Rhinolophus ferrumequinum: one gene and its partners. The protein of the gene in region 3 purifies or fractionates together with the protein of the main gene of each other region. This does not show direct contact. Links are inferred from orthologs where the notes say so. Each region holds a gene or a part of one and is shown on either strand. Other genes may lie near its edges.

Region 1 (7,071 bases), on a different chromosome or scaffold from region 3:
AGCTGGGGGCTTCCTTACACTAGTCGTGGTCCCCTTGCCTCAACAATTTCAAAAACCAGGAATAAGCTGTGTCTGTTTGCTGCAGCACTCACCTCCTCATCAGACTCAAACTGTACATTCACCCCGTATGTCTCATCAATGTTGTCGTCTGAAACAACAAGGGGTTAGAGAGGACAGTGAACAGACAGCAAGAGGAAGCACCAGGGAGCTCATTTCCTCCCCAGTTGCCTGACTTCCCTCTCAGGACAGATGGCAGGTCTAAGGACTCACTTTACAATGGACACTGAGAGCCACCTGTACTGCCACCAGCAAGGCCCTCCCCACCTGCCAAAACTGGGTTAAGTCCCTGTTCTGCTTGCTCAACCACTTGAGCTCCCCAGGCTCTGCCCAGATTTTCTCCCATGTTCTATACAACAAAAGGGTCCAGAGTAAGAAATGGCTGCAGTGATCTAGGGCTTCTGGTGTCCAGCAATGGTAACTATTCAAGAAACACCACAGGTTATGGGAACTCACTGACACATTCAGCTGTTTTAAAGACTGGAGCTAGATCATGTTTAGGGGTTAACAAGCAGCCAGTTAATGTGATCAGGACATAAAGAGTTCAGTTACCCATGTTCTGGATCTCCTTGTCTCCACCGTAGTCTGTGATCTTTTTGCCCAAGTTCACTAGCACGTGGTATCTGGTATCATCTGTCTGACCCAGCAGCAGGTCAATCTCCTTTCTCCTTTCCTTGTCACGAAGCTTTTCATTCTTTAGGACAGCCAGAACTTCATCAGCTGCCCCACAAAGAATATCACGTGGCTGGTGGCAAAAACGACCCAACAAACATTTAGAACAATGACAGGCAGAACATCACCAACCAGCTTTATGTGACAACAGGATGTAAGGAGTCATACCTGTTTAAACCCTGCATTCCAGGTTCTGATCATAGTCATTAATGTTAATTCAAAATGCCACCAGACTCACATAATTGAAGACCCCTCTGTTTTAAAAATGATTAGGTAGGTGGTCTTAGGAAGGAGAGGGCATGGCTTCCACTATCGTCTGCCACACTTCTCCAGGTGGTATACGTGCTCCATAGTCTTCCACTGGCCTGCCAAACTTCTGGAATTCTCGATCCTCGCCTCCTCTAGCACCCACCTGACCAGAGCCTCAGACTCATAATGGTCCCTAACCACACGGGAAGCACTGTCTCACATAAAGTAAGTGCTCAGGAAATATCAGCCACCTCTGCAAACTGGCATGGCCCACACAGGAACATCCACAGGCAAGGTTCTCTGGCACCCAGCTGTGAGTCCCTCCGTGTCCACATCCATGGCTTCACCCCGGGGCTGCCTCACCTGGTCCCCAAGAGCAGCCTGGATGAAGCTGAGCAGCACCTCATAGGTCTCCCGGGTCTCCTTCGTTTTGGGCTTGTAGATGATGCCCACCATCTCGTCGATGCCCTCCGACAGCAGCGTGTACCCCTTCATCTTGTTGATGTCGTGCCGGTCCTCGTCACGCTTCCTTCGCCTGGCAGACGCAGTGATGGTGAACGAACGGGCAGAACCTTGCCCTCGGAGGCAACACTAAGAAAGCCCACCCTCCTCCTCAGCTTCTTGGCACACAGGTAACATCCAAGCGACTGCACCTCAGCACGAGTCCCATCTGGCCTTAGTCACTTGCAGGTGTGTTTCCTTCCGGGAACACAGCACCAGAGCGGGACTCCTCTCACTCTCCCACTAGATGCACTGAATGTCACAGGAAGACATCCTCCTCATTCATTCACAAAAAACAAAACCACCTTTTTATTTTGTAAGACCATATTGTGCAATTGGATTTTGAATAGTTTTTCACCCCAGACACATTTTCTTTTTCTAGCCAGGGAAAATGAAGCGCCAAAAGAATCTACTGCCATTGATTCCGAATAAATTGTAACAAAAATGTAAAAGAACTATATCCCCCCCAAAAGTGAAAAAAACCTGTGTTTCGTTCCATGGCTGCTTAAACATTAGTCTATAACAACAAAAGTATAACATGGGCAACAGCAGAGGAAAAAAATAGGACTCTGAAATCCGTAATGGAAAAAAAAAGATTTACCGTGACAAGGGAATAGCAAGAGTCTTAAAGACATCATGAAGAAAATTAACATCTCTCTATGGACCAGAAACACATATGTTAGAAAAAGGTCTAAACGTTGTTTTCCACTTCAGGCACATTTGTTGAGGACAAAAGACCTTCTAACTCTTATGTTGTTTTTATCTTCACGGAGTTGTTTCACTGCTATTGACGTCTCATCTTACACCCAGCATTTCAGCAAAAAAAGCTGTTCAAATGCTCAAGGAAAGAGAGATTTTGGCTCTGAAGGAAAACCATTTTCCCCTTGGTACTCACTTGGCTCTTCTTTCCTCCTGCATCTGTGGTTTGGTCCGTTGAGCCTTATCTCCCATCCGGGTGCCCTCCAACTTCCCAACCAGGGACAGCACCTCTCCTGTGGGTTCATCCCGGCGAGTCCGGTCGATGAGAGAGCGGTCAGCTTGGAGGACAAGATTCGAGTTCTAAAAAGATCACAATATTATGGAACCTCTGACACGAGCAGGGCCAATTCCTATGTCACAGGGATGCCAGAGGATGATAAAGGAAGTAAAAACTGGAGCAAGCAGGTGCTAACGATCACTAGTCAGAAAAAGATGTTTTCCTCAAGACCCACTAGTAGTATCCCACAATTGCGCATGAGTAAATGGCAACGAAATCAGTTAACCCATCCTGCTCCTAACAACGCCCATAGTAAGCCACACCGCGGACAGTGCTGGGTATGTTGGGGGTGGCATCTGGAAGGGGGCGGATATACCGCTGACAGGACAGGGACCCCGGATCCGATCTCCCCTCCACTCTCGCGGTTCTCCTGCAGGCCTTCAGACAAACTACCTTCCGCCGCCTCTCGCTCCCCAAAGGGCTCCCGAGCCCGGAGTCCTCCCGGAGCCCATACGCACCGCCTTGTACTCGTACTGCAGGCTACGGGCGGTCACATCCGCCATGGCCGCGGCCGCTCCGGGGTCTTGGCGCTCCGCTACCCCTTACCACACACTACGAAATGCCGCCTCTCCGCCCTCCCGACGGGTCGGAACGACGCAGGAGAGACGCACGGGAGACGGAGAGAAACCAGCTCTTTTCCGCTTCCGGGTCGCGCGCCGGAAGTGCAAGTGGGGCGCATTTTCCGCGGGCGCGCGCCGTTTCCCTTCTGGGTGGGGCCGGCGAATTCCGGGTCCCGGAATCCCGGGACCCTCCGACTCTGGTTCCGGCTACCTCCTGCCACTTCGGACTCACCGCCCATACTCTTCCTCTACCTCGGGCTCCGGCTTCAGCACCAAAGGCTCTTCACTTCCTGACGAAACGTTCACCTGCTTAGCCCCCTCGTTCCAACCCCAGCGCTTTTCCAGCCGCTCCTGACAGTGGCATCTGTCCTGTGGGCTGTGCAGGCTGGGAGGAGCTAATTAGCTCCAGTTCCGGCTGAGGAAACTGAAGCACCCAGCGAGTAATTTATAATAACTTGCGGGTGTGCGCGCTCGCGCCTCAGTGAGTGACTGATGTCCTCCTTTGGGTTTCTTGTCCATAGAAGTACTATTCATAACAGCCTACTGAGGCATGTCCTGGGAACTGCTAAGAGCTCAGTTTAGCTGAGCGCGGGGCAAATGGAACCATGGGATATAATTTGGATAGATATCGTTTAGAATCTCTTGGGAAAAAAAAATGCCACTGTTAAGAGTTTGCACTTTAGCCTAGGAGACAGTAGGAAGCCATAGCAGGTTTCTGGTTTGGGGTTTTTCGTTTTTTTGCAACTTTACATCAGGTGTTTGATTAGAGGCACCAACATTTAGATTGAGCAAAAAACTATCATGTGGCAAGCATTTGCAAAGTGCCACTTTGGCATACATTATCTCATTTAATCTCCATAAAGCCCAATGAAATCTATTGATTACTTTTACCAATAAAGAAATCAAGGCCCAGAGAAGATAAGCTGACTTGCCTGGCTTCACTGGCCTCAAAGGCAGTCCTTCTCTTTCCAGGCCCTCTGTACAGGGGTTCCTCACAGAGCTGGGCATTGCAAGGTAAGAAGGAGAGTGGGAGAGGGGGGGTAGGGGAGCCAGAGACAGCTAGTACAGCTGGGGCTACTGCAGGAGACGGAGCAAGAGGTGAGCTGTACCTCCTGGAGGTACCTAAGGCAGGGGTTAAGAAACATTAGAAATGAGAACAAAACTCAGAGGAACTTGGTGATTGTCTTTGGTGTGTCCAGGAAGCCTTTAGGTTGCCTGAACGCTTGGGGCCGGGGAAAAGGAATGCTGGGTCATTCAAAGTGCATTGGTAACTTGCTTATTCGATGGTGAAATGCCTCCTGACCCAGGATTGAACATGCAGCTCATAGGGTTAGAGTGAGGTTCAATCACAGGACTCCGGTAGATGCAGTGGCCTGCACAGAGGAGGGATTCAGTAAATGGTAGTTCTCTCTCCATTTGCCTGGAACATCAGTTCACCGATAATGCATACTTTTGAACTACTTCATTCATTCGTTCATGTCCTCATTTAGCAAAATGTTACTGTCTTCTATGTGCCAGTCACTGCACCAGGAAACAAGACAGATATGACGTGTAGATATATGTAAGTTTAACTAGGTGGAGACAAAATTGATCTTCTAATTAATTCACCTGGTGTATGTTTGTAAGCAGGCTTGTTCCCTTCCAGGTCTTCACCTTAGGAGGCAGTGCCCTGCTTTTAACCAAGAGGCAGTCTGATGTGTGATTCAACACATGGGCCCTTGTATCAGACTGCCTGGGTTGAAATCCCGGCTTCATCCCTTACCAGCTGTGCAATGTTAGATAAGTTCTAAGTCCTTAGTGACTCTGTGGGTCAGGTGTGTCACCTGTGTAACGAGGATAGTTTCATCTACTCCATAGGGTTGCTGGGCGCCTATAAGTATGCCAGGAAATAGTGAGTGTCAAGTATTGTCCAATAGAGCTGTATTTCTCAAAGGTATTTATGAAACGCTTTGTGTTTGGAGGCAGTTTATGATTCAAACACAGGAAAACTGCCTCCTTCTTTGTCATATCCTTCCTTTCTATCCCAAATGGTCTTACTGAACCTGAATGGCCCTTCGAACCTACCAAAATCAGTTCTGAATGACTGTTGGCTCTTCCCCAGACTCCAGCCCTCACACAGGAGGTAACAGTTTGCCAGCACTAGGTGTATCCAGTGTCACAGCTGTAGGTTGGGTGGCTGTGCTGGAATGCTGTGGTACAGGGCCACACCGTTAATCTAAGTGTGTGGCCGCTCCAGGTGGCTGGTGTGCAGGGACTGAGAACTCATTTCAGTGTGCAAGTTGCCATATGCTCGTTTAAAAGTGAAATAATGTCATACCTATATATATAAATGTAGACTTTTTGGAAAGGGGTCACAGTCAAGGCGTGGAATTTGATGGGGAACTTTACCTCAGTTCTAACATTAACATTTTACCATGCGTGCTTTCTCACATCTCTGTCCATCTATCCAACCCTCTATCCATCCGTCTTTATTTTTTGACGCATTTCAAAGTACAGACATCTGTACGCTTTCCCCTAAATATGTTAGCATGAACATCACTAACCATATTTCAATATCTGTTTACAGTTCTCTTCGATCTTTTGAAATAAAATTTACGTATAATGAAATACACAAACCTTAAATGTAAAATTCTCGGAGCTTTGACAAATGCATACCCCTACCACAGTATATAGCACATTATCATCACCCCAGAAAGTTCCCGCAGGCCCTTCTAAATCAGTTTCCACCCCCAGAGGCAATCAGTGTTCTCATGTTTTTCTACCATAGATTAGTTTTGCCTGTCATGATTTTCAGTTTAAAAAAGAGAAAAAGAAACTTTATGTAACTGCATATTCATTTACCATGGGCCAGGCATAGCTCTAGGTTCTTTGTAAATACTAACTCCTCCTGTCAATCCTTTGAGCAAGGCCGTATTAGTTTCTCCATTTTGCAGATGGAGAAACTGAGACATAAAGTGGTCCAATGGCTTGCCCCAGGCCTCACCACTGCAGGGAGTGGGGTTGGGCCCTACAATCTCTGTGGACATCTTTCAGACCTACTCCAAAACGTGGGGTTGTGGATGATTTTTGTTTTCTTCCTTTCATTTTCCTGTATTCATATGATCAGTTACATTAACCAAAGAGCACGCAAGCATTCACTGTTACATGAGAACCATGTCTGTTTGTTGGACGGATGTCATCATGGGCGGCTGAGACAGGAAGTGACTAGGTCAGCGGGGGTTTCTGAATGTTTACTCTTCTTGAAATTAAGCATAGAATTTCTCTAAAGGGTAACATGTTTGCTCAAGATGTGCCCTGTATCATGAAATTAATGGAGTATTTTAAGGTGTTTATAAAGGTAACATTTTTATTTTCAAAATTTTTATACTGAAGTAATTTCAAACTTATATGTACCCTTTATCCACATTAACCAAAGAACATATGCCAAATTCATTTTTACCATTCTCTATTTCTCTCTAATGTTTTCTTCTAAAATAGTTTAAAGTTACATTATCGTGTCCCTTTATTCCTTAATACGTCTGTGTGAATTTTTACAGAATAAGGCCATTTTCTTAACTAACAGTAATATGATACTATTCCCATATTCCAATTTTGACAGTTATCTCAATAATGTCTTTTACAGCATTTTTTCAGCTCCCAAGATCCAGTGCAGGATTATGCATGGCATTAATCGTCATCTCTTTAGTCTCCTCAAGTCAGGAATTGTTCCTCCCCTTTCTTTCTTTCTTCCTTTCTTTCTTTCTTCCTTTCTTCCTTTCTTCCTTTCTTCCTTCCTTCCTTCCTTCCTTCCTTCCTTCCTTCCTCTCTCTCTCTCTCATCTTCCTGGACACTGGCATTTGGAAGGGCACACACCAGTTATTTTGTAAAATGTCTTTCTATTTGACTTTGTTTCCCCACTGTAGGGGTTATAGATGTTAGGCATGGGGGGCAAGAATATTCTCTGAGCGGGTTGTGTCCTTCTTAATGCCCCGTACAGGAAGCACACAATGGTGACGT
Region 2 (7,955 bases), on a different chromosome or scaffold from region 3:
CTGCCCCCAATCCCCTTGAGAACCATCCCTTACATAAAATGATTCTTCACAGAAATCCTTTCAATCCTGAGCTCCTCTAATGCATATAAGATGTGGAGAGCACTATTCATAGCACTATTCCAGCTCCAGGTCCACCACTTAATTAGCCACGTGACTCAAGCTCTTCCTCGCTGGTTCTCTACCAGCAAAACCAGCAAAACCTGTGTCCATGGTAGCTCACAGGGCTGATCAACAAACAGCCTAACAAAAAAAATTGCTTGGTAAATGTTAAGCGCAACGTTTAAGGTGACTAAGGTAGTAGGGTCCCATACCAAGCCTAAACCTCAAGGTCACCATCTCTTTGCTAGGCCTCAGTTCTTTCACCTGTAAAAGGTTACTATCCACACCTACAGGTTTAATTAAAGCAGCGACTCAGCACAGTGACTGGCAGTGATATATTTTCCTACCAATAATTTTCTTGAGGGAAGTAGGGAGGTAGCCTGATTCACTCCTAGCCTTCTACCATTGCAGATACTGATTAGGTTTTAAAACAAGCTCACCAGAACAGCGGCTGAGGAAACCTAGGCATTATACTCATTACAGACTATGGAAGGAGCAATTCAGCTTTCAAAACATGGTAATGGGAGAACCCACCTGAGGACCCTGAAAAGAAAACAAACAACCTAATCTTTGCGGACTCTATCTCTTTGCTTAACTACTGTGAATAAAATCAAAGAGCAAAGTGAAAGCAAAGAGCTGACAGCATGCATTTGAACAATCCAGAGGCCCCTATTCTAATCCTGAGCTCACAATCTAACGTGCCTCAAAAATTCTTTTTATCAAATATACAATCCCTTTTTAAATTATGGGGCGCGCGCTGTGCACACACACACAAAGTAGCTCTCAAATCACTGCGAAGCACGGAGACCCTGGTTTAAATAATACATTTCAAATGACTGTTTAGTAAGAGGTTACAGGGTGGTGTTGTGGAAGCAGCTAAGGCCTTGGAGTCAAGATGGCCTTCCCTAGACTCTTTGGGTCAATTATCTTAACTGGAGTTTTCTCAACTGTTAAAAAAAAATTTTTTTTTCTTCCGTTGCAAAACACTTAACACTAACATTACCACCCTGGTAATCTACAGTAAACATAAATTTTTATTTTTAATAGTCCACATGCTATGTTTGTCAAATAAATCAGTCATAAAATGATTTTGAAGAAACTAAACAGTGGGGAAAATGGGAAATTTGCTAAAGTACCTCAAATGCTACATAATCCATGACTAATTCAACTTCTCACCTACCACAGTTCTAGCAGCTCCAACCTGTGATAACTACTTTGAAAGAAAAAATACAGGAAATAAATGTACTGTAAATGTACTGCCAGGGCCCTCAGAAGTCCAACTAGGCTCCCCCCAGACAGATGATGTAAAAAGTCTAAACTGAACACATCCCTCCAAAGTTTTCAATAGTAAAGTGTTGGAAATATTTCCAGAATGCCTTTCTCTTGATTCCTGAGGACGAGGAACCACGGTATTTTGTTCCTCCCCACCCAAGGAAAGTTTAACAGCATAGTAGCTAGTAATTAGTGAGTGCTCATTAACCTTGCTTTAACTACACTCACTTTTAATCTCCACAAACTATAGTTAAGCACATTAAAAATGTGTTGGAAGGCAAATTCGTAAGAGACAATGTATAACTGAGGTAACAAGGACCTGGGGAGGGGGGAAAATGGGGAGTTATTGGTTAATGGCTACAATTTAGTTGGGGTATGAAAAAGTTCTGGACATGGACAGTGGTGATGTTTGCACGACACTGTGAATGCACTTAAGGACACTTAATCATACATTAAAAATGGTTAAAAGTGTAAATTTTATGCTACCGCAATTTTTAAAAACTTTTAGGAAATCAGATGTGTGCCCCAGCCTTCCCCTGTCCTCCCCCACAGCTGCTGGTCAGAGCCAAAACGTCTTTCTGGTGACTGTAATCAAAATGGGGGGTTTCACAGGGACACAAAATGATGCTTTAAGGAAATTTTTAAAACCAAGGATCCGAGACAGAGCCTCAAGCAGGACTCGAAAGGTGACGGAATTTGGAAGTGGGTGGCCAGCTGAATGATGGAAAATCTTCCCCTAGAACACGGAAGAGAATGTTTTCTTTTTTTTCTTTTCCTGTTTCTAAGGGTGCACACGGAGCAGCAGGCCCGATCTCTCCATAAATAACTACTGCGCACCTGGGGAGGAAGTGAGGGACGCAGCGAGGGACTTGAGCCAGGGCCAGAGCGTGGGGCGAGGGGCGGTCCCGACCGAGGCACTTCTCGCGGGGCGGGAGAGGGGGGCGGCGCGCGCCGGAGGGGGAGGGGAAGAGAAGGCCCCCGGAGCCGGCCTCCCGGTCCCTACCTATACCTCCGCTACCCGCCTCCGCTACCGTTTACCGTGGTCGACCACGAGCCAAGGTCTGCGCGCGCACTCTCCTCCCCCCACTTTAGGGATCGGGAAACTGAGACGCCGAGCACTGGAGGGGTTGGAGGGAGATATGAAACCACGCGCCCAAGGTCACCCGACAAGCGAGCGGGCCGCAGACTCTGGGACTCGCCCGCTCCCGGCCGGGTCCGCGCCATCATCCCCGCGCGCAAAGACTAGACCCGAGACCTCGGACCCGGCCTTCAGGAGCCGGAAGAATAGACGCCCGAGGCCTGGGAGAAAGGAGTAATCCTTGAGGCGCTCCCGAGACTGCCAGGCTTCATTCCTCACGCCTTGTCCGCCTCCACCCGCGGCAGGCCCCGCGGGGAAGGCCTGGGCCGAGGCCCGGCTCAGGGGAGGCAGCCAACAGACTTAACGGAGCCACCGCCAACTGCCGTGTAAAGTGCCCGACCCGAAACAAGGAGCCGTGGAATACTCACCCTTTCGGGCCCGGAGCCCCGTTGCCGCTCGGCGCGCCCGGCGCGCCGCTCTCCCCCTCCATTTTGGGCTCCGTCGCCGCCACCTCGGCCGCCGCTTCGACCCCTGCCGCCATTTTCTCCGCGTCTGGCTTTGTGTGAGGGAGCGGGCTGCGCGGCGCTGCGCCTGCGCTCTCACGTGATCCAGAGCGACCAGTAACGCCTGCGCGCGCCGCGGCCGGCTCCCGCCTAGTCCCCTCCCCCCGGGCCACGCCCCTGCTCCGGGCCATGCCCCCGCCGCGCGCATGCGCGGACCCGCAGCTGTTATTCATTCATTCCCGCGACAAATTCGTTAGACGTCTACTGGATACTCCACCCGCTCTCGAGGTCTGGGAGCAGGAGTCATCTCCCCACCCCCTACCTGGACCTAGTCACTTCCTTCTTTACGTAATCAGCTAGAGCGGAGGGGCAGCGAAATTTGTGTTTACTAGAATATAAAGGAATTAGCTAGGCAAGGGCAGAATACCGACGGGCCAGACTGACTGGTGTGCAAAATGATGTCTCTAAGCAAGTATCATCCTGCACCAAGAATAACTGGCACTGTCCAGCCTTTCTCTCCACTCGCTGGGAGCTCCCGGGTGTAGAGCCCATGGCCTAAGCCTTTCTTACTAAACCCATCAATCAACCACAAAAAGCATAGCTGAGGACTTAGTATGTATTCATACTCATCGTTTATTGAGTGAATGGACAAGCCAGAAGCCAAATGTGATGGGAAAAATGAACTACAGGCCAGCAGATCCCATTAGCCACAACTGGAGCTTCCTTCTGCCTGACACTGGGTCCCTCTGCCCTGAGGGCTTGTCCCTGACCCCAAACTGGTTTTCAGTGCTGTTACAGGCAGAGCCCAGAGAAAAGGCCAGAGCCTAGGGGTGCGTTCAGAGGCTTCAGGCTTCCTTCCCCGGCAGCCCATCTCTCTGGTGTCTCTGGAACTTCGAAATGCTTCACTGAATCTTACAGAAGTTGCCACCAACCTCTCCCAAGGCTAACAAAGGGAAATGCTTTTGTTTTGTTTTTTTTCCACCTCTCTCACAGAATGACTACATTCCACCAGTCTCTGGAGAACCACCTCACCTGCCACCCTCTCCCAGCTGCTTACTTCTGCCTGGTGATTCTGACCTACAGAATAAATTCATCAGGTAGCCCAACATGACAGGAGGCTATGCCCCACCCTCTCTTTCCACTTCCATTCCCATATACGTCGCAAACTACCTGTCTCACAGAATTCCCTTCTCTGGCCCATCTTCAAGTCCCGCCGCCTCCCATGCCTCTTCCTGATATCTCCTCTCTACTCAAATCCACTGTGCACAGCAACTCTTCTGCCATGGCCACGCTGGAATCTGTGGACCTCACCCCACTCCCCCTTAGATTTCTCCTACACTGGAGGGGCTCTTGGGACAGAAGAAGCCTCATAAACCTCTGAATTTCTTTGCCCAGCAGTGTTCAGAGATGGTGGAAGAGACCACAGCAGTCTGTCAGAACCAGGGAGAAGAGGCCCATTGCAAAGCATCAGGGACAAGAAGCCACCTCTCTGATCCTTTCTCCCACAGTGGGTGTGATTGGAGATTTCAGACAAGCCAGGCCCTGGCTGAGGAGACAAACTCTCCCAGGCTGGTCTCCTGCAAGCTGGACCCAATACTGCCCAGATTCCTGGGTTTTGCCATCTTCAGAACTATTACTTACTTTGCACTTTCCTTTGACACACCTTGTTTTTCCTTTTAAAAGTACGTGTTTTAAAATTGTGTTTTATATTGAAAACTTCCTATAAATAGCTTATTGTAAAAACTAAATAAGAGGGCCGGGCCGGCCCGGTGGCTCAGGTGGTTAGAGCTCTGTGCTCCTAACTCCGAAGGCTGCCGGTTCGATTCCCACATGGGCCAGTGGGCTCTCAACCACAATGTTGCTGGTTCAATTCCTCCAGTCCTGCAAGGGATGGTGGGCTGCGCCCCCTGCAACTAGCAATGGCAACTGGACCTGGAGCTGAGCTGTGCCCTCTACAACTAAGACTGAAAGGACAACAACTTGACTTGGGGGAAAAAAAAAAGTCCTGGAAGTACACACTGTTCCCCAATAAAGTCCTGTTCCCCTTCCCCAACAACAACAACAACAAAAACTAAATAAGAGGATGATGCTATTAAAGTATAAATTCAGTCGTGCATGCTGCCAAAGTCTCTGAGCCTAAGACTTGCTCTCTTTGCTAAGGTTAGGGGTCATTAAAGACAGCCTTAGCACCAAGCTACAACTTTCTCCTGGACATAATTGAAAATATTAGAAGAGACCTGAAAAGGAAACAGCTTTCTCGTTTCATGATGGCTTATCCTGGGGCCTCTCTGCCTCATCTCCAGGGGCACCACACTCCAAAGATGGCCTGAGAGGTAGGTGCCAGGCCTGGGTAGAGTGAGCAGCTGCAGAGGTGAGAAGGGTGTAACCCCGTGTTTCTGCAGACCACCAGATGCCTAAAAGCCCTGCTTGTCTCACTGCCTCCCTCCGAGCCCTCTGCCTCTCAATCACACTGCTACAGCACCGACGTCTGCCATGCTGCTCCCTCTATGGGCCGTGCAGGTTCCAACCCCTAGGCCTTTCTCTTTGCTGTTCCTTCCACTCCGCAGCCAAGCTGGCCAGCCTCTCCTTGCCCTTCTAGTCTGGCGTAAAAAGGGTTTTTCTTCCTCTGTGGGTGAGCCACAGACCAGACCGGGATTCATGCAGAAAACAATAGAGTGTGCCAGACACTGCTAGGCCCATCGGGGACGTGTCACCTTGGGTGAGCGACCCCACTGCTCTGAGCCTCATTTGCTCATCTGCCAAAGGGATTAATAAGAGAACCCCAGAACCCAGTTTTCAGAGCTGCTCTGAGTGTTAAATGTGGCCCGATGCAGAGAGCTCCCAAACGTCCAAGACTCCTAAAACGCTCAAAAAGTGGCTGCTGTTATTAGCATGACCGTTCTCCTTGTTTCCTGAGTCCTCCTAGAAGGGGAAGCACAAAGCTCAGCACTAGGGCCACACAGACCTGTGATCTGTCCCAACTCCACTTCCTAGAGCTGTGGGACCTTAGACAGAGGCTTCCCAACTCTGGGCTTCAGTCTTCTCATCTGCAAAGTGGAGGTCATAGCCATTCCTCCCACCGAGGATGGTGGTGAGAGTCGGAGGAAGCCTGTGAAGGCTCCAAACTGAGCCCCATCCAGCGAGACCCTTAGTAAGTGTGGACATCAGTTATTAATAAGTGTCAAGGGCCCAGCACGGCATCTGGCCCATAGTAGATGCAAAGTAAGTGGCAACTGTTCTTCCTATGTATATTTGAAATCATTTATTAGATAACTTTGCTACCTGCTCTTCACTTGAAAACTCAGGCTTGACTTCTTCTGCTGTGTTCCACGATAGATCCCTCAAACCAGCCTACTGCATTTTTTTAAAACCTCTGTGTGGTCCCTGATTCCCCTTGGTCCCAGGTCCCTCACTTTGAGGCCTCGGTTCCAAAATGTAATTGACAAGTCCATTTTATCCAGCAAGAGCTCCTTTTATTCATTCAGGGTGGGTTTGTGAAACGCGGTGCAACTTTATAAAGTCGAGGGTGCCAGGAATGCGAGCCTGCCAGGTGCAGAGAAGCGCAAGAAGCTTGCGGGACCCCCGCCCCATGGGCGCCCTCGACTAGCCTATGGCTACGGCTGCGGGCCCACAAGGGGCCGAGTGGACCTCAGAATGAGATCAGAGTGCCTGCTCCGTCTGAAGCTCAGGACCACATCCATCTGTCCTCCTCATGTATAATAGTGTGCAAAATAATCTGAAAACACCTTCACACAGCATCACAGAATCAGCTCCACTTGGCATCTCTTGGCCTAAGAAGCGTTCTGGCCGTGCAGGAAGGGTCGGGCAGTTCCCGTCCTTCTGAACACCAGGGCATCGCCAGCCGGGCCTTCACACAGGTGTCTCCTCTGCCACCTTCTTCAGGAGTCCAGCGGCCAGTGGGGAGTGCTGGGTAGCCTCAGGGCCATCCGTGTCCCGGATCTTCAGGCGCACTTTCTGGTTGGTCCTCCTCCACTCAGTATACAGCTGGCAATGGTAGCGGAAGGAGACCTGTGGGCAGTGCAGGCATGGGTGGAAGGCCAGCCGGCAGGCCTCCACCCCCAAGGGAGGAAAACTGGGCCCCTGAGCCTCCGGACTTGGGCCACACCAGGGCCGGAGCTCTTGCTTCCAGAAGCAGAGTCAGCCGCCAGGCAATTTTCATACAGACTGTGCCCACACACAGCCATTCACTCTCCTGGGAATATTCCCACCAGTGTTCACAGGTCTGCAAAGGTGAGGGGATCTCTCAGAGGGTGAGAGTGAAGTGGTATAATCTCCTGGAAGGGATTAAATGTCGATAGGTCATATAATCGCCAAAACTCAGAAGCCACCAAGATGTCCTTTAGTAGGTGAATAAATAAACTTAGGACATACAGACAATGGAATATTATTCAGTGCTAAAAAGAAATGAGTTACCAAGCCATAAAAAGATATGGAAGAACCTTAAATGCATGTTACTAAGTAAAACAAGTCAATCTGAAAAGGCTACAAACTGTATGATTCCAACTCTATGACATCCTGGGAAAGGCAAAACTATGGAGACAGTAAAAGGAGCAGTGGTTGCCAGGGGCTAGGGTAGGGAAGAATGAATAGGTGGGGCACAGGGGCTTTTTAGGGTAGTGAAATTATTCTGTGTGCTACTTTAATGGTAGGTACATGTCATGATGCATTTGTCTGAACCCATAGCACGTCCAACATCAAGAGTGACCCCTAATATAATCTACGGACTTTGGGTGATAAAGACATATGTGTCAATGGAGGTTCACGACTGTAAGAAATGTATCACTCTGGTGCCATGTTGACCGTGGGGGAGGCTGTGCCTGGGTGTGGGGAGAATATATGAGAACTCTTTGTACTTTCTGCTCAATTTTGCTGTGAACCTTACATTGTTCTAACAAAGTCTATCAACATTATTTTTAAATAAATGTCAATGGTTCATACTCTTTCACCAAGCAAGTTCCAAGAAACAGTCGCACATGGGTGGT
Region 3 (8,157 bases):
CCACCACCCCCTCCGCTGCTGCTGTTGTACTGGTTCTGTTGTCCGTAGCCCTGAGGGGGATTATAGGAGCTTGGCTGCTGTCCGTAGCCTTGCTGTTGGCTGCCATAGCCAGACTGGGGCCCATAGCCTCCACTCTGGGGCTGCCCATAGCTGCTGCTCTGAGAACCGCTACCGTAACTATGGAAGAGGAAAAAGAAAAATGCCAGCATGTCCAAAACTTGCTTTCACTTTGTACATCCCATTCTCTGAACTCTGACCTCAACAGACACCCCCGCTACCCCTCCTAAGTGCCCCTTATAGATTCAGCCCTCCTGTTTCTGGCCTCCCCCCACAACGCCTTACCTTCCCGACGTGTTGCTAGGAGCTGGCTGCTGGCCATAGCCAGGGTAGGAAGACTGCTGCCCGTAGGACGACTGAGAACTCTGGCTGCCGCCATAGCCACCCGCTGAGCCATAGCCCTGGGGAGCTGACTGAGTGCTATAGCCTGCTACGTGGAAAAGAGAAAGGAAGTCATAAAAGCTACAAGGAAAGAGAAAGGCACAGAATGAACTGAAGAAAGCATTACATGTTACCTAATGCTCTACTTGAAAAGTCGCCTCTTAGAACCTGTTTAGAAATCTTGCAACTCATAGACAAAGGAGTTACCCTTCTCTTCTATGCTAAGGCTCATGTTCCAACTTCCACCAGCTTCAGAATTCCAATCTCAACGCCTTCATCCCAAAGCCCGTCTCCAGGACCACCAGTAAGCACAGCCCCAGAGGCCCCACTCGTTAACAGCACTTCAACCTACTCAGCTGTGCAGTATAAAATAGGACAACCCACATTCTCTACACTGCAGGACCTCAGGGCAAACTCCACCGCTCTAGGTAGCACATGATAACAGTCTGACTTCAAACATCTTCAGGCAAATCATGTCCTTCCTGTTAAGTATTAAAAGCCTACAACTTGCTCCCTTTAGTGAATACTTTCCCCACATTTCACCTTCATGCAACACAAATAGAAAAGTAAAAAGCCAAAAATGAAAAGAAACAAGCCCATAAGCGTTTGGTTTGAAAGGACTCAGATGCCAAGGGTTATAGACTGGATGAGGGACAAAGAAACATGTGACAGTTAACACTTCAGCTTAGGTTTAAGAAAAGCAACATTCAGAAAGAGCAGGAAGAGGCGGGGTGGCCCACTAAAAAGAGACTCACTGTTCTGGGTCTGTCCGTAGGAGCCGTAGCTGCTCTGGCCATAGCCGGAAGTGTCCGCTGACTGGCTGTAACCACCGTAACTCTGCTGTCCGTAGGGCTGATTGCTCTGCTGGGAATAGCCCTGTCCAGGCTGGGTGGGGTAGGCCCCATAGCTGGAGCAAAGAAAACCGGTGCAATCAGGAAACCTACCTTAGCAACCCTGGCCCTCCGCAACCTCTGGACGCCCAGAAAATACACTCACCTTTGGGTTGCTTGTTGGGTATAGTCTGCAAAAGAAAAAACAATCATGTCACCTTCGCCTGTCCCTACGAGAGGAGAGCACAAAGCAAAGAAAAGGCGCATTGCTACGAAGACTAAGAGGCCGCAACACCCACCGGCAACACCAAGTCTCGGCGGACACCCACCGTTCCCGGCCCGCAAATTCAACCGGCATCGGAAACCACACGCACTCACACACGTCTGGTTTCCACCACCGCTCTGGGAGGAAGGCCCGGCCGAGGGTCGAGCTACACAAGCTAAGGTCGGAGCCGCCGCAGCGGGACGGCCTTGAACGCAGGCCGGAGGCAGGAGGCAGCGCTGCTCCGGATGTGGCTCCGTGCTCCAGCCAGAACACAAAACCGCCCCCGGAGCGGGCCGCCTTCTACTGTCCGCCCCCCCTGGTCTGCGAGGCTGGGGAAGCGGCCTTTCAGCGCAAAGCTAGACACCCGAGGGGGGACCCCGGGCGTCATCGAGGCGCTGGTCTCGGGAGACGAGGTCACCGGCTCTCGAGCCCCGGGGCTGAGGCTCCCCGGAACCCGTTTTCTCACCGCCCCGCCCTCCCCGAGGCTTCCAGAGGGGGCGAAGCGCCCCCAACGAAGACGCACCGGCCAGACCCCCGCTCCCCACGGCGCCGTAAACGAGGGGCTTCCCCGCAGGGACGGGCCAAAAGACCGGGGGAGGGTGTGGCCGCTCCTTCCCGTTCCCACCGCGGAAAGAGGAAATTCAGGCGGGAAAACGCGGGGGCCCGGGCCCCACTCCCCTCGGACGACCTCCAGGCACCCCGCCTCCGGGAAACGGGTGCGCGGCCCGAACCCCGAGCCACCGCCCCCGGCCGCGTGGCACCCGAGGCGGGAACGGGGAGGTCCCGCCCCTTCCCGAGGGACCCCGGGGGCGGGGCCCACACCGGACGCGCCCCGCCGCGTCTCCCGCCGAGGGTCTCGCGACAGAAAGCCGCCCGACACGGGGCGGGGGCGGGGGGGTTCGCGCCACGAGCGAGGGGGGAGGGGCCAGCAGAGCGCGTGCGCCCGCCGAGTGCCCGGATGCAGCACTGCGACAAAGCGGGCCCCACGGCCGGGCCGGGGACCCGGGGGGAACGGCCACGGACGCCGCGCGTGTCCATCCGCGTCCCGCGTTTCCAACCGCCCAGGGGCTTCCCTCTTACACGGGCTCACCGTCGTGGGGCTTCGTAACGGGGCTGCGAAGGGAGGCCCTCCCGCCCCGCGCCAGGCGCCAGAGCGGCGAAACAAGATGGCGACATCGGCCTCCCCCTTCCACCCTCCGCCGCCGTTTCCCGCCACCGCGGTACGAGACGCTCCTCTACGCGACCGCCGCCCGGTCTCCCCGACCCACAAAACCGCCGCTGGGCGGGAACGAGGCCCCCCGTCGGCGCGCCCCTGCCGCCTCGCGCCCTCACATACCGTTTGAGGCCATGTCGGCGCACGCGCGCACGGGCCGACACGCAGCGAGATCCCGACACTACGGAGCACCGACGCCTAGAGGACTGAGCAGCCCCGCCGCCTGCGTCGACGTTTATGTACGCTTCCCCGCCTACGTACCGCGGAGGAATGTTCCAAAGGTGAAAGTAAGGGGGGGAGTCCGAGCGGCCGCCTCCCGCTCTACGGTGAACATAGACGGCTGAGCCGACAGAAGGGAAGCACGTCGACTAAGAGGCTTCCAATAGTATGTAGAACCATGTGTTTTCTAACAAAAAACTCCGATTCGCTCTGCAGGACTGGCCCACAATGATCTCTACCCCCCTAAAATAATGGTACGGTCTGATTACCCTCTGGGGGCGGGACGAGGGGGGGCCCAGGGCATCGGCGGACGGAACTGTAGTCAAAGCCTGGAACCGCAGGGCGGAACCGAAATTTCTCGGGCGGGCCCGTTTCCCTGGGCCCCACTTTCACTGGGGACGACGCGCCCCTACGCTGCACTCCCCTTGCACTGCACCAAGACGCCTCGTAGCTCGGGCGCCATCCTCCCCGGCTCTTGAAAGGACGTTTGTGTCTTCCCTGAAACACCCCCGCCCCCCCCCCCCCCCCACCCCGCACCCCCCCCCCCCCCCCCCCCCCCCCCCCCCCCCAACCCCCCCCCCCCCCCCCCCCCCCCCCCACCCCCACCCCCCCCCCCCCCCCCCCCCCCCCACACAACCCCCCCACCCCCCCCTCTTGCAGAGTCGCGTTTCCTTCGTCCTTGCCAGGGTGTGTGGATTGTGACGTTTCAGCTGCAGGACAGCATGCAGCGTCGCCTGACGCCGCGCTCATCGCCCCCCCAAACCCGCGGGACCTCAGTTTAGAGATGAGATGAGGGGTCTCTCAGTCTTTTACTGATAAGGAGCTTCTCTTTATTTTCCCGAAGCCCTACCAAGCACCACTGTGGACATCCAGTAGTGACATGTTTGTATAGGGCTCAAGTGCACAGTTAATGGTTTTTTTTTTTTTCCCCATCACGATCTTGGGAAGCAAGTAAAGCTGTGCCCATTTGATAGGGAAGGAAAGCGAGGCTCAGAGGCCAAGTGCAGCGAAAGGTCAGGGGTTCTCATTCGACCCCAAGTCTGTGTGGCTGCAAAACTCGCCTCTCGTTGGTGACGTGAACCCTTTGCGGGGCCCTGAAGTCTGTCCACTCCCTGGGAAAGCAAGGACAAAACGCGACGGTCGAAGTAACCTGTAACTTGCCTGGAACGGGAGATTTGAACGTATGGAATAAAACACCACCAAGGAAGTCATTCCTGGTTCACAGGCACACAGATTGTCCTTCCCTACATACCTGTGACCTCGGTTCCAGAGTTCCTTTGTAGGTTGGACGTGTTTTCCCGGAGAAACAATTGAGGGCTACGCCCTAGGCCTGCCCACAAACTGCTGCTAACCCCGATTTAGGCCCTGATGGCCCTGTCCCCCACCCCTACCCGCATTGAGAGGGCAGTGTGACTCTGGAGTAAGGGCAAAGGGAAATCCATCACTCATTCATTCGTTAATTCTACAAATATTAAGTGTTCTGGGCACTGAGGATGCACAAAACAGATGAAGTAATTTAACAACAAACTAACATTTAACCATAATAGTGTTTATATATTAAATGTGTAACGTTTATAAGAGCATAACAATTTCATAAAGCTTGCTAAGTATCAGGCACCATTCTGAGTGCTTTGAGTATAGCTTGTTCGATCTTATTCACAATAAAAGTTGGTGGAGGAATACATTTTTACAGATGAGCAGCCTAGGCACAGAAAGGTCAAAAGCTATGCCCAGGGCGACCCAGAAAAAGTGGCAAAGCCAAGTTCCCAACCCAGGCAGCCTGTCTCAGAGTTCCTGCTCTTAACCCCTGTGCTTCAACAAACATCTCTTGAGCACTGTGTGATATGTACAAAGCATAAAAATGGGTCAGTCCTGGAACCACAGCACCTTATAACCCGTGGCTGAGATGTGGGTGAGACCCAGAGACACCAAAGTGTACTCAAATTAAATGTGCTGTGACATAGAATCAAGGACTCCAGACACTATAGGGAAAGCGAGTCATCCATCAGGTAGACACCCAAGGACAGAAGATGAAAGAGAGGTGGTAACACTGAAGCCAGGCCTCCCAGGATAAGTAGGAGTTCACCAGCAGTGAAAGGAAAGGGTGTAACTGACAGAAGGAATGGCAGAGACAAAGCCATGGGTGAGGAAGGGCACTCGTGGGCAGAGTGGCAGGGAGAAATAGGCTCAAACTGTGACCTCCAGGAGGTAGGTTTCTCCGGACTCGTCTCTCTGAGTCACAGAACACGGGGCCTCTTACTTCTCCTTAAAAGTCTCTTTACACGAAGGACACCCCTCTCCCGACCCTCCCACCTTTCCCACCGTCATTCTATCTCCTGCCCCTTCGTTCTCTGCCTTTACTCACCCTCCAGGGTTCTGTCTTCAGCCTTCTTCGCAGCTCCTCTGAGACCCAAGACCCCAGCTGTGGGCCTGCTGTGAGATGCAGCTGCAGACAGGTTCTGTGTAGCCTAACGTTGTTTTTAATTTTTGTAACGAGTTGCCAAAACATAGAATAGGGCAAACTCCACGCTTCTGTCTTTTCTTGAAAACTGAGGGCTCGGGCCATCCTGTACATACTGTTGTTCAAGTATGTTATGGTGACCCCGTACACCCAATGCTAAAGAACACTGGGGTTCAGTTAGCAAGAAAGGAGAGGAATGGCTATCGCAATCTCCTTCTCATTTTTGTTTTGGTCTGTTCTCACACTAGCCATACAAATAGTGTATTGAAATAGGCCAGAAACGTAATTAGGGTGTATCTCTTAAAAGGGAAGATTCCATTTATAGCAACACTTGCCTGAAAGATACTCAAACTGAATACTGTATTTCATCACAACTGGTTCTGACCAGCTGAAGCTAATAAACAGGTGTGGCCTTTGAGTGACTCACTGGATGCCGGACCCTTATTGGACCTAACGAAGACTCCTTCCTGGCCAATGAGCAATGGGACTCTGTTTTAACCAATTGGGTCAGACCTATGAATTCATTCCCATCCATCCCAAGTGTTAGTTTTTCGTTGTTAATTAGCATATGACCCTGACAATCCCTTCCTAATACTCAAACCTCTCTTGACTTCTCACTCTCAGCAACCCTGCCAGTGAATGCCTCTTCACTGATGAGTTCCTTTGACTGTCAAGTACCGTCAGCCTTTTTCTTTTTTTAAACTTCGATGATCTTTGTTTCTTCACTGACGATCTTTAGAAATCATTTACATTTAGCTTTATAAAATAGTTTTAAATGAGAATCAGGGCCACAGTTTGACCATCTAGGAAAAGGGTCATTAAACTTTTCTGTTTTAATGGGGAGATGGTAAATACTTTAGGGTGTGTTGTTTTTTAACTTTATTTATTTTAAGTGTGTTTTTCCAGGACCCATCAGCTCCAAGTCAAGTAGTTGTTTCAATCTTGTTGTGGAGGGCGCAGCTCACAGTGGCCCATGAGGGGATCGAACCGGCAACCTTATTGTTAAGAGCACCACGCTCTAACCACCTGAGCTAACCGGCCACCCCCTACTTTAGGCTTTTTAAAGGTCTCAGTGGCAAGTCCTCAGCTCTGCCTTCATATCTCAAAAGCAGACATAGACAATAGGTAAATGAATGGGAGTGTCTGTGGTCCAATAAAACTTTACTTCAAAAACAGGCTGATGGCTGGAGTTGGCCCTAGGGCCATCATTTGCCAACTCCTGAACTAGGATTCAAGCCATTAAGCTATGGTCTATCATAAAAATCAACCCAGGGGCGGCCGGATGGCTCAGTTGGTTAGAGCACGAGCTCTTAACAGGTTGCCAGTTCAATTCCGCATGGGATGCTGTGCCCCTGCAACTAAGATTGAAGACGGTAACTGGACTTGGAGCTGAGCTGTGCCCTCCACAACTAGATTGAAGGACAATGACGTGGAGCTGATGGTCCCTGGAGAAACACACTGTTCCCCAATATTCTCCAATTAAAAAAAAAAATCAACCCAGAAGTAAGGTAGAAATCAAGTTGGAGATCCCCAGCTGTATTTGACTCTCCCCAGATCTAGCCCTCTGCAGAATGGTCCCTAGCAGAAGAGGATCAGAACGCCTCACCATTTCTTCCATGAGCTGAGTGGGGATAGCCTGTCGGACCCCAGACAGTTCATGTACTAACCTAACCAAGGCTTTAGTGATCAGAAACTTAAGACCATTGATAAGAAAGGTTGTAGCTATCAACGGATCCAACCCAATTCCAAAACCAAGATACAGAGCGGGCCCCCTCTGTAGATAACTAGGAGAAATACCAACCCTTCAGAGGGCAGGGCTAGTCAGAATCACCAGCAGGCCACCATCCCTGCTAACTGATTGGCCCAGCTTGAGACGATTGTCCTGGATCAAGAACTGGCCAGGGAGCTTAGGCCGTGTCCTTAGAAATGACTGATGGTATGAGATTGGAAAGAGCAGTCAGGAACCTCTTTCTTCAGGGCATTTTAGGCCATACCGAGGCGTTTGGTTTATTATGAGAGCCCTGAGCTGTCACAAGCAAGGGCAAACAATTTTTAAATTTGATTTAATAGCAGCTAAGCTTCCACCCCTGTGGAAAGCAGACAGGAGGAACGGTTATTGTGAACTGGACAAACCATCTAGAATGCTGGCTATCTAATGAGATATTCTGCAATGATAGAAATGAGCTGTCCCCCGGGTAGCCACAGGTGGTATGAACACTGGACATGTGGTCAGTGAGACTGAGGAACTGAACTTTAAATTCTATTTAATTTTAATTAATTTTAATTTTAGTAGCCACATGTGTTTAGTGTCCACTACAGTAGGACAGCACAGGTCTGGAAGTCCAGCACACATAGCTCTGATCTCCTGGGATTCAATAGGAAACCCACCACATCCTTATAATAATGTGCCCCTTTTTTATTAAGAGAGTTCGAATGGGTTTCTGTTACCTATACTTGCCTGCCTCATACGCACTGTTGTTTGAGATTTTTAGAATTCGGAACATGCAAACAAGCGACGGGAGAAATATCTGTGACAAGAGAAAAATTCTAAGACATTCTAAATTCAATTACAGCAGGCAGGAGAGGAAGAGAAACACAGGAATAATTAACCGGTTAATAGCTGTGGGCCAAATGACAAACGACTGCTCACATTCCTGAATGTCTGTGGGAGCTTTGAATCAACCTGCGGGCATCTCTCAGCCGACCACTAGATGCCGCCACGTCCTGAATG
Region 4 (7,607 bases), on a different chromosome or scaffold from region 3:
GTAAATAATCCCCACCACTGGCTTGGAAGGGGTAGAATCCTCCTTTGAAGATGCTTCTTCCTCTGTGGGCTGTGAAAAAGAAAAAAGGAATTGAGGTCTCAAAGTTCATGATTTGAGGCTGGACCACCCTCTCCCTTCTCCCTCCCCCCAGGTTAAACCCTTCTAGCATATTTCTGAGAGCATTAGACCTTCTCCTGCAAACTTCCTTTGGGTTAGAACCCTCTTCTTCAGAAGAGTGGTTCTCTTAACTGCATTGTGCTTACATGGGACCCTCCTAGGGAACTAGTAATAAAAAGCAGCTTCCCTGGCTCCCCTAGCTAGACCATCTCAGTAACACCGGGAATCTGTATTTTTACCAAGAGGCCAGGTGATTCAGATGCAGAGAGCTCTGACCACATTCTGAGAAACCATGTTCCAGAATCTAGAAAGCCCCACACCAAGGGACGGCTATATAGCGATTGTTTGCCCAATGAAGAAACAGGACACTCCTTGCTGGCTGCTCCTTCTGCACTGAATACCCTCTCCTCTGTATCCACCCATAGTCTTCACCACTCAATGCTCAAAATGTTTTGTGAAACTCCACTGGAATACTCAACATTCATTATCAATACATTGCAATATTCTTTCCTCACCAGTCTTCCTTTAGTAAACAAAGTGTCAAGTCTCAGAAAAATAGTTTCTCCCCTGACCTCATGTTCCTTTCTGCTGCGGCCTTCTCCCCCGCCTTCCTCCGCTAGCTAAACATCCTGAGTTTTCACAGCCTTACTGTTCCCACTTCCTCACCTCCCATTTGGTCCCCATCCATTTGAAATGCTCTTGCCAAAGTCAAAAGCAACTACCTACACACAGCCCACTAAGCAGTTACCCGACCACGTGATCAATGACCACTCCTTCACAAAACTCTCCACTCAACTCCCAAACCCTGTTCTCGCCTGTCTTTCCTTCTTGCTCAGCATTCCATCCCAGTCCTTCCTGGTTTCTGGTTCCCCTCCTGCGCTATAATGGGCACCCCCAAAACTCTGTTCTTGATTCTCTTCCCGGTATTCACACTGTCCTCAGGCCAGAACTCACAACCACATCCTCCATTTCCCCTACCACCTCTAGGCTGAACAATCCCGCCCAAATGAATGTCCCGAATCACTTGTGTGCTAGAGCTTTAGATCCACTTGGCTCCTAGGTACTTTCAACTCTATCCTCCTTCCTCATGAATGGCCAAGCAGGCACCTGGTCAACCAGGCCAGAAACTTGGGCCTCCTACCCCTTCTTCAACCTCCACATTCAGTGACAGTAACATTTATCGAGCAGAGTAGGTGCCATATGCTTTTTTAAGCACTTTAACTATATTAACTCTTATAACCCTTATGAGAACCCTGTGAGGTAAATACTTTAATTATCTCCATTTTACAGATGACAAAACTGAGGAATGGAGCGCTTAACTGGCCCAGATGGCAGCAGAACCAGATTTCCAACATACCACTTCGGCTGGAGAGCCTGTACTACAAGCCGTTTTGTGACATGAGCTTGCCAGACCCTCTGCTCACCCCCAATGTAGCCAGGCCCTCAGCATTTTTTTTAAATAAAATGACGAATCCTCCATCCTCCTTGCGAAGTTCTTTGTATCACTGCTTATATACCTGAATTTCTGAAACATGAATGTGTCATTATCCTGCTTAAAATCCTTTTCTCCCCATTGTCTACTTGAAGTTCAAATCCTCTGAACCGCATCTCCTGCCACCGCTTCCCCAACACTGTGCTTCAACCACACTTATTTACCTTTCACCAGAGGCACCATCTGATTCCTATCTTGCTGTCTTTGCACTTACGTGGTATCACTTTATTTTTCCCCAGCGACTGGGAAAATGCCAGGACACACAGGTGCCTAAATATTTGTGGAAAGGGTATGGACCTATCAAATATATGGTGATGGAAGGAGAACTGACTCTGGGTGGTGAACACACAATGGGATATAGAGATGATGTATTACAGAATTTTACACTTGAAACCTATGTAACTTTACTAACCATTGTCACCCCAATAAACTTTAATTAAAAAAAAAATTAAATGTGGGGAAAAAAAGGGTATGGACCTCTTCTGTCATGTTCCCCACTGTAGTCTGAACCCAAAGCAGTGGTCAGCACACAATATGTGCTCAATAAACGTTTGCTGAATGAATAAATAATGCCATTTCCCTCCCCCAATCACCTCCCTGCTGAACTCCTATTCATCCTTCTAAAAGCAATTTACCTCGCACGCCTGTGGGCTTCACCTACTTTAATCTCCCCTCCACCCGGTCAAAGCAATGGTCATTAGATTACTGTCTCTCTTGTACCTGAAATTTGTTATAGGGCAAATCACAACATACTGCAACTGTTTATGTACGTCTTTCTTCCTCGGTTACCTGAGATGTTTTTAAGTTCCACTCTGTTATTTACAGTGATGGGGCACTAACCATTTGTTGAGGAATTAAGTATATCTGTATCCCCACTAGCCTGTGAGCTCCCTAAGGGAGGAGTTGTGCCTCACTCATTCCAGTAACTTGGAAGCCTGGCACGGTGTCTGGTTTAGGCTAAGCACCGAGTAGATGCTGAGAATTAACATTCAGAGCTGTACCCCGCAGGCTGGGAAATCAGGGGTAACTGGGCAAAGGCTGGGAGCCGGTGGGTCCAATTGCCACAGAAAACCGGTGGATGGGCTGGAACAATGTTTCTCAAATTTTAATGAATCGCCTTGGGATCTTGTTAAAATGAAGATTCCTATTAAAAGACCTGGGGTGGAGACTCCGCATTTCTAATAAACTCCCAGGTGATGCTGACGCAGCTGGTCCGCAGACCACGCTTGGAGAATCACTGTCCCAGAGCTCGGCTCGCTACTGGAGGGCAGCGCGTTGCCTCCTGGGACTTGCAGTCCCTCGAAGCCCGCCTAGGCGGCCGCTTCTTCCTGCAAAAGTGAGGAGCGCCCAGGCCTAGGCTCGGGCTGGCGGTTGAGGTGAAGGGGGCACGGTACCTGTTTGGGCTCGGTGACCACAGGCGGCGGCGGGGGCACCGCCTGCACAGGTCCAGCCGGCATGACTGCGACGCTCAGGGTTGCCAGTCCGCCTCGGTGTAGGTGAGCAGCGCTGCGTCAAAACGGTGCCCGCAGCGCGAGTACGACGACCCCGCAAGATGGCGGCGGCCGAAAGAGTCGCCGCCGAGGAGACAAGGCTGACGCACTTCCGGACCCGCCCCTTCACCGTGACGTAATTTCCATGGGAGTCGCCCTGCGAGACGCCGTTGCCATGGCAACGGTCGGGGCACACGGCTAGAGTTTGCCGGGTTTCACAGAAGTGGCTGGCATGCCAGTCAGTTCTATGAGCCGACCAGACACAGGGGCTGAGGCTGCGACGCCGGAGACGGGTGAGACGTTCTATCTACATCACCTGCCGGACGCCTCCCCATTTACTCCACTGGCACACCTTTCCTTTACTCCACTGGCCATTTCCTCGCTTCCTCCGACCCCGCCTTTCAAGGCCCCAGCTCCCTCCAATTGGTCTCTCACTTTGGAAAACCCCCTCGGGCCCTCCTCTTCAAAGCCCCACTTCCTTTCTGCTTTATCCCCCTCTTTCGCTTCAGGCCCACCTCCCCCAAAGCACCCTCCCAAGTCCCAAGCTGTAACTATCTCTGGTCCCTTTTCCCGTGGGTCCGCCTTTTCTAGATTCACTCCCTGCCTTCCTCAGTCCCGCCCTCAAGTCCCACGGACTGTGTCAAATTGGGGCAGCTGCTTCAGATTTCACCCCCTCGCTCCCCCTTGTACCTCCCTGTAGGCTACTTTCCTCGCTTCCCTGAGGCACTACTTGAATCCCGCCCTTTTTGCTTTCTCTCCTCCCCGTACCCTCTCCCCTCCTTTCCAACTCCTGAATGCGGGCCAGCTCTGAGGCCTTGTCTGGACTTCAGTTTCCTCACCTGTGAAATGGGGGCATGATAGGAAGAGATGCCCTCCCAAGTCTCCTCCCTGTCTCTCATGCTCTCTCGCACACACACCTCATAGCTGTTTTATGTCATTGTTGTTTATTATTAATGTAGAATCATAATGATATCTAGAATTTATTGAACATTTACCATGAGCCAAACCCTGTGCCAAACACTGCATGCATGACAACAATTATTTCTTATAGCAACTTCTTTTCAGATGAGGACAGTGAAGCTCAGCGTTGGTGGAGTGGGAACCCAAACCCAGGCCATTCTTACTCCTTTACTAGTACAGTTACTTATTCCTTTGTCTTCACACGGTTTTTTCAGTGTCCCCAGGGATCCAGGCAATTCACAGTCCTGAGTCAGAGACTGACAATTGCCATATACATGGTTTTCCAGGGGTTTTCATGGTGGTGACCTTGAATCTCAGCAGGTGCATTGGTGGGGAGGTAGGCATAATCTTTACCAGAGGGGTAGGGTCCTAGGGCTCAGAGAGGGAAGAGGCTCGAATGTTGAATGGGAATGGAGGAAAGGCTCCCTCCCTTCTCTGTGAATGAGAAGTCTACCTTGAGCTTAAGGGAACTGAGGAAAGGCAGTTAGCTGCCCCTCCTACCTCAGGGCAGTGTCGGCTCAATTAGTACCATCACCTATGTGACCTCAGGAACTGTGCAGGGCTGGCAGCTTCAGACAGAGTTTCACTCAGCCAGGAATTAGAAAGCTGATGTCAAATGCTCCTACACTTGACACACACCTAAGTGGTTCTCAAACCATGCTGATATCTGCAAATCCCCAATGTTCAGAAGAATTGACAGGTAAACTTGGCTATTTTTTAATGTCGCAGTTTCGTCTTACATATTCTTGCTTCTTTGGCATTTGCTGGTGCTTATCAGAACTGGAATCTAACAGGAGTTGGTATCTTAGATGGCCTCAGATGGCAGATAGAGTTATTTGAGGGTGAACAGGTCAGTGTTTCTTGGTGTCTTCATAAGCAAGCTCCTGAGTTCCAGCGCCTCCTTCCAGGGTAGGGTTTCTTGCTTGCTTTATTTATTCCCATCCTCCCTTTCCAAAAAGGAAAACCAGGATGTTTCAGTCTGTTTTTTTCTGTCTGTTTCTGCCTCATTTCTTGGGGACATAAAATCTCATGGGTGGCAATATCTCACTAGAGGCAGTCACCACGGCAACATATATGTATGGGATATGGGCCTGTGTGCGTGCGTGTGTGTGTGTGTGTGTGTGTGCGTGTGTGTGTGTTGTGGGGTAGATACTCAGGGCCCTGTGGGTGAGACTGATAGAGCTGACACACCCATGATTCGCTCCCTGAAGAGACCCTCAGATATAGATGATGGTTCCTCGTGGACAGGGCTCCATGTGCCTTGCTCTATCCCTATTCTTGACACAGTGCCCAGGATATAGTAGGTACTCAGTCACCGTTTGCTGAATGAACACACAGGATCTGGCCCTCTACACCTACACTGTGCAATACCGTGGCCACCAGCTCATGTGGTGGCACATTTGAAAATGGTGGCTGATCCACACTCAGATATGCTGTAAGTGTCAAATGGACACTGAATTTTGAGACTCAATGCAAAACAAAATAAAAATTAAAAAAAAATTTTTTAATCCCCTTAATGACTTTATATTGATTTCATGTTGAAATGATAATATTTAAATAAAATATTAAAATTAATTTAGCTGTTTTCTTTCTTTCTTTCTTTCTTTTTTTACTTTTTTAATGTGGCCAGTAGAAAATTGGAAATCCCATATGTGGCTTCATTATATTTCCTTTGGACAGTGCTGCTCCAGCAGCAGCATGGCCTGAGGACAACAGAGATGTTGGACTCAAGAATCCCAGCTCCCTGAGTGAATTTAGGCTAACCTCCTAACTTTCCAGAGCCTCAGTTTTCTCATCTGTATAAAGAAAGTGGCACACAGTAGGGAAGTGGTACACAGTAGGGAAGTGGTACACAGTAGGTCCTGTGGTCAGAACTAGCACGGTTGACGGATGCTGTCTATGTGCAGTTTCAACTCAGGTGACCCCACCTGCCTTTTCCCTCACCCCATTCATCCAGCCGGGAACACTCTCCTTCTTCTGGGACAGCCTCCTCCCTGTCCTCCAATAAGCTCTCCCTGAGTGATCGCTCATTCACTTTTGCCTTCATCCATTCCCAGGGACCCAAGAGCTGTTTGGGGCCAGCCCTGCACTGGAGACAGGAAGCCAGGTACCTGGATGAGCCTCTGACCCTGAGCCTTAGGCTGGTCCGAGAGTTGGGCAGGCGCCCGTGCAGACATCCAGCTCCATAGGCAGTCACCTACACAGAGGTGAGAACAGGGCACAGTACTCTGGGAGGCCAGAGAGGCCAGCTCAGCCCTCGGGAGCTACCCCTGGGTACCTCTGAGTGTCCCAGCACCTGTGGGCACAGGCTGGCCCTCGGGCCCCTTGGCCCAGGTGGCCAGGTGATACCCCAGTGAACTCAAAAGACAGTCCATGCGCTTGCAGGGAGACAGACTGCCCCTCACAAATAATTACTCAAATAATGATTCAGTGCTGGTGTGGTGAGTGCTGGGATAGAAAAGAACAGGATACTCTGAGAATGTGTAACGGGACTTTACCTGGCCTGGGGAACTGAGGGAGGTATCTTATCCAGAGGAAGTATGGGGGTGGGGGGCGCAAATTGTAGGTGGGGAGAAGCTGAGGTCGGGGCAGACCACCCAGGGCTCGAGCCTAGGGAAGCAGTCCAGTCTTTATGTTGTAGAAAGCCATTCAGGGGTTCTAGCTGGGGTAGGAGTTGCCTTTTTAAATAATCACTCTGGCTTCATATATAGAATGTGAGAGGTGGTGCTGGGCAAAGGGAAGAGGGTGACCCCTTGGAGGCTGTGGTAGTGGTCTGGGGAGATGGTGAGTGTGGAGCAGTGTTGATGGACAGAAGTGCTGGGTTCTCAGCATGCTTTGGACATGGGATTGGCAGCACTTGGTACTGGATGTGGAAGTAAAGGAAGGGGACTCAAGGAAGTGCCCAGGTGCGCTCAGTGGGGGTGCCATTTTCTGAGATGAGAGAGATTGGGGGGTAGAAATAGGTTGGAGGAAGAGAGGTGTCATGGTCAGTCCTGGACTTACTGTGGGCCCAAGGGGCCATGGTCTAAATATTGCCCAACGGCCCTTGCCAGGAGGGGCTGTGGTGCAAGGAAGCACTTTCTGATGCTGAGAAATGCACAGGGTGGGGAGGGACCAGTACTCAGCGTCCACAGGGCTGCCTGGCTCTGAAGAGAGGGCTGGCTCTGACGGCAGGTGCCAGAGAGGAGAACCCCCGAGGCGTGCAATGAGCCAGAGGACGGGCTGGGGCAGTGTCACTTCTCCACCTTCTGAGTCAGGGGCCATGGATGGTTCATCCAAATCTCTGTCTTCAGATGTCCATAGACTCTAAAGATGGACAAGAAACAGGCTGCATGGGCCGCAGGGGAAAAGCGGAAGTACAGAAAGCCGTGGCTCCAGACTAGGGTGACCTTTGCTGTCGTAGCTGTTAGTAATAGTCATCCCAATAATAATAGTCACTCCTGCTGGAGAACTTGACTGAGGCCTTGCCCTGGACCAAGCACTTGACTTGGGGACACTTTCAAGGCCTCACAACCACCCAGCCTGGTTGGGAAGGATGTCCCCACCTC

The links.
Region 1: the proteins of FUS (region 3) and SNRNP200 purify together in Homo sapiens (affinity purification with mass spectrometry; 3 studies listed by BioGRID and IntAct, with this or other methods). This does not show direct contact. The link is inferred for Rhinolophus ferrumequinum from reciprocal best matches to the Homo sapiens genes FUS and SNRNP200.
Region 2: the proteins of FUS (region 3) and HNRNPM purify together in Homo sapiens (affinity purification with mass spectrometry; 4 studies listed by BioGRID and IntAct, with this or other methods). This does not show direct contact. The link is inferred for Rhinolophus ferrumequinum from reciprocal best matches to the Homo sapiens genes FUS and HNRNPM.
Region 4: the proteins of FUS (region 3) and SF3A1 purify together in Homo sapiens (affinity purification with mass spectrometry; 3 studies listed by BioGRID and IntAct, with this or other methods). This does not show direct contact. The link is inferred for Rhinolophus ferrumequinum from reciprocal best matches to the Homo sapiens genes FUS and SF3A1.

The regions. Positions count from the first base shown.
Region 1 is NW_022680356.1:1,943,893-1,950,963, forward strand, and holds the start of SNRNP200 (U5 small nuclear ribonucleoprotein 200 kDa helicase), read right to left. Parts: upstream 3,127-7,071; 5' UTR 3,019-3,126; coding exon 2,974-3,018; intron 2,539-2,973; coding exon 2,375-2,538; intron 1,514-2,374; coding exon 1,342-1,513; intron 803-1,341; coding exon 610-802; intron 149-609; coding exon 93-148; intron 1-92. UniProt on the Homo sapiens protein: Catalyzes the ATP-dependent unwinding of U4/U6 RNA duplices, an essential step in the assembly of a catalytically active spliceosome. Plays a role in pre-mRNA splicing as a core component of precatalytic, catalytic and postcatalytic spliceosomal complexes.
Region 2 is NC_046301.1:57,246,644-57,254,598, reverse strand, and holds the start of HNRNPM (heterogeneous nuclear ribonucleoprotein M), read right to left. Parts: upstream 2,991-7,955; coding exon 2,878-2,990; intron 1-2,877. Other genes in the region: E3 ubiquitin-protein ligase MARCHF2, read right to left, coding at 6,823-6,981. UniProt on the Homo sapiens protein: Pre-mRNA binding protein in vivo, binds avidly to poly(G) and poly(U) RNA homopolymers in vitro. Involved in splicing.
Region 3 is NW_022680357.1:239,757-247,913, forward strand, and holds the start of FUS (RNA-binding protein FUS), read right to left. Parts: upstream 3,006-8,157; 5' UTR 2,883-3,005; coding exon 2,870-2,882; intron 1,460-2,869; coding exon 1,435-1,459; intron 1,346-1,434; coding exon 1,194-1,345; intron 488-1,193; coding exon 343-487; intron 178-342; coding exon 1-177. UniProt on the Homo sapiens protein: DNA/RNA-binding protein that plays a role in various cellular processes such as transcription regulation, RNA splicing, RNA transport, DNA repair and damage response. Binds to ssRNA containing the consensus sequence 5'-AGGUAA-3'.
Region 4 is NC_046308.1:19,547,751-19,555,357, forward strand, and holds the start of SF3A1 (splicing factor 3A subunit 1), read right to left. Parts: upstream 3,167-7,607; 5' UTR 3,067-3,166; coding exon 3,004-3,066; intron 70-3,003; coding exon 1-69. Other genes in the region: CCDC157 (coiled-coil domain-containing protein 157), read left to right, coding at 3,332-3,392. UniProt on the Homo sapiens protein: Component of the 17S U2 SnRNP complex of the spliceosome, a large ribonucleoprotein complex that removes introns from transcribed pre-mRNAs.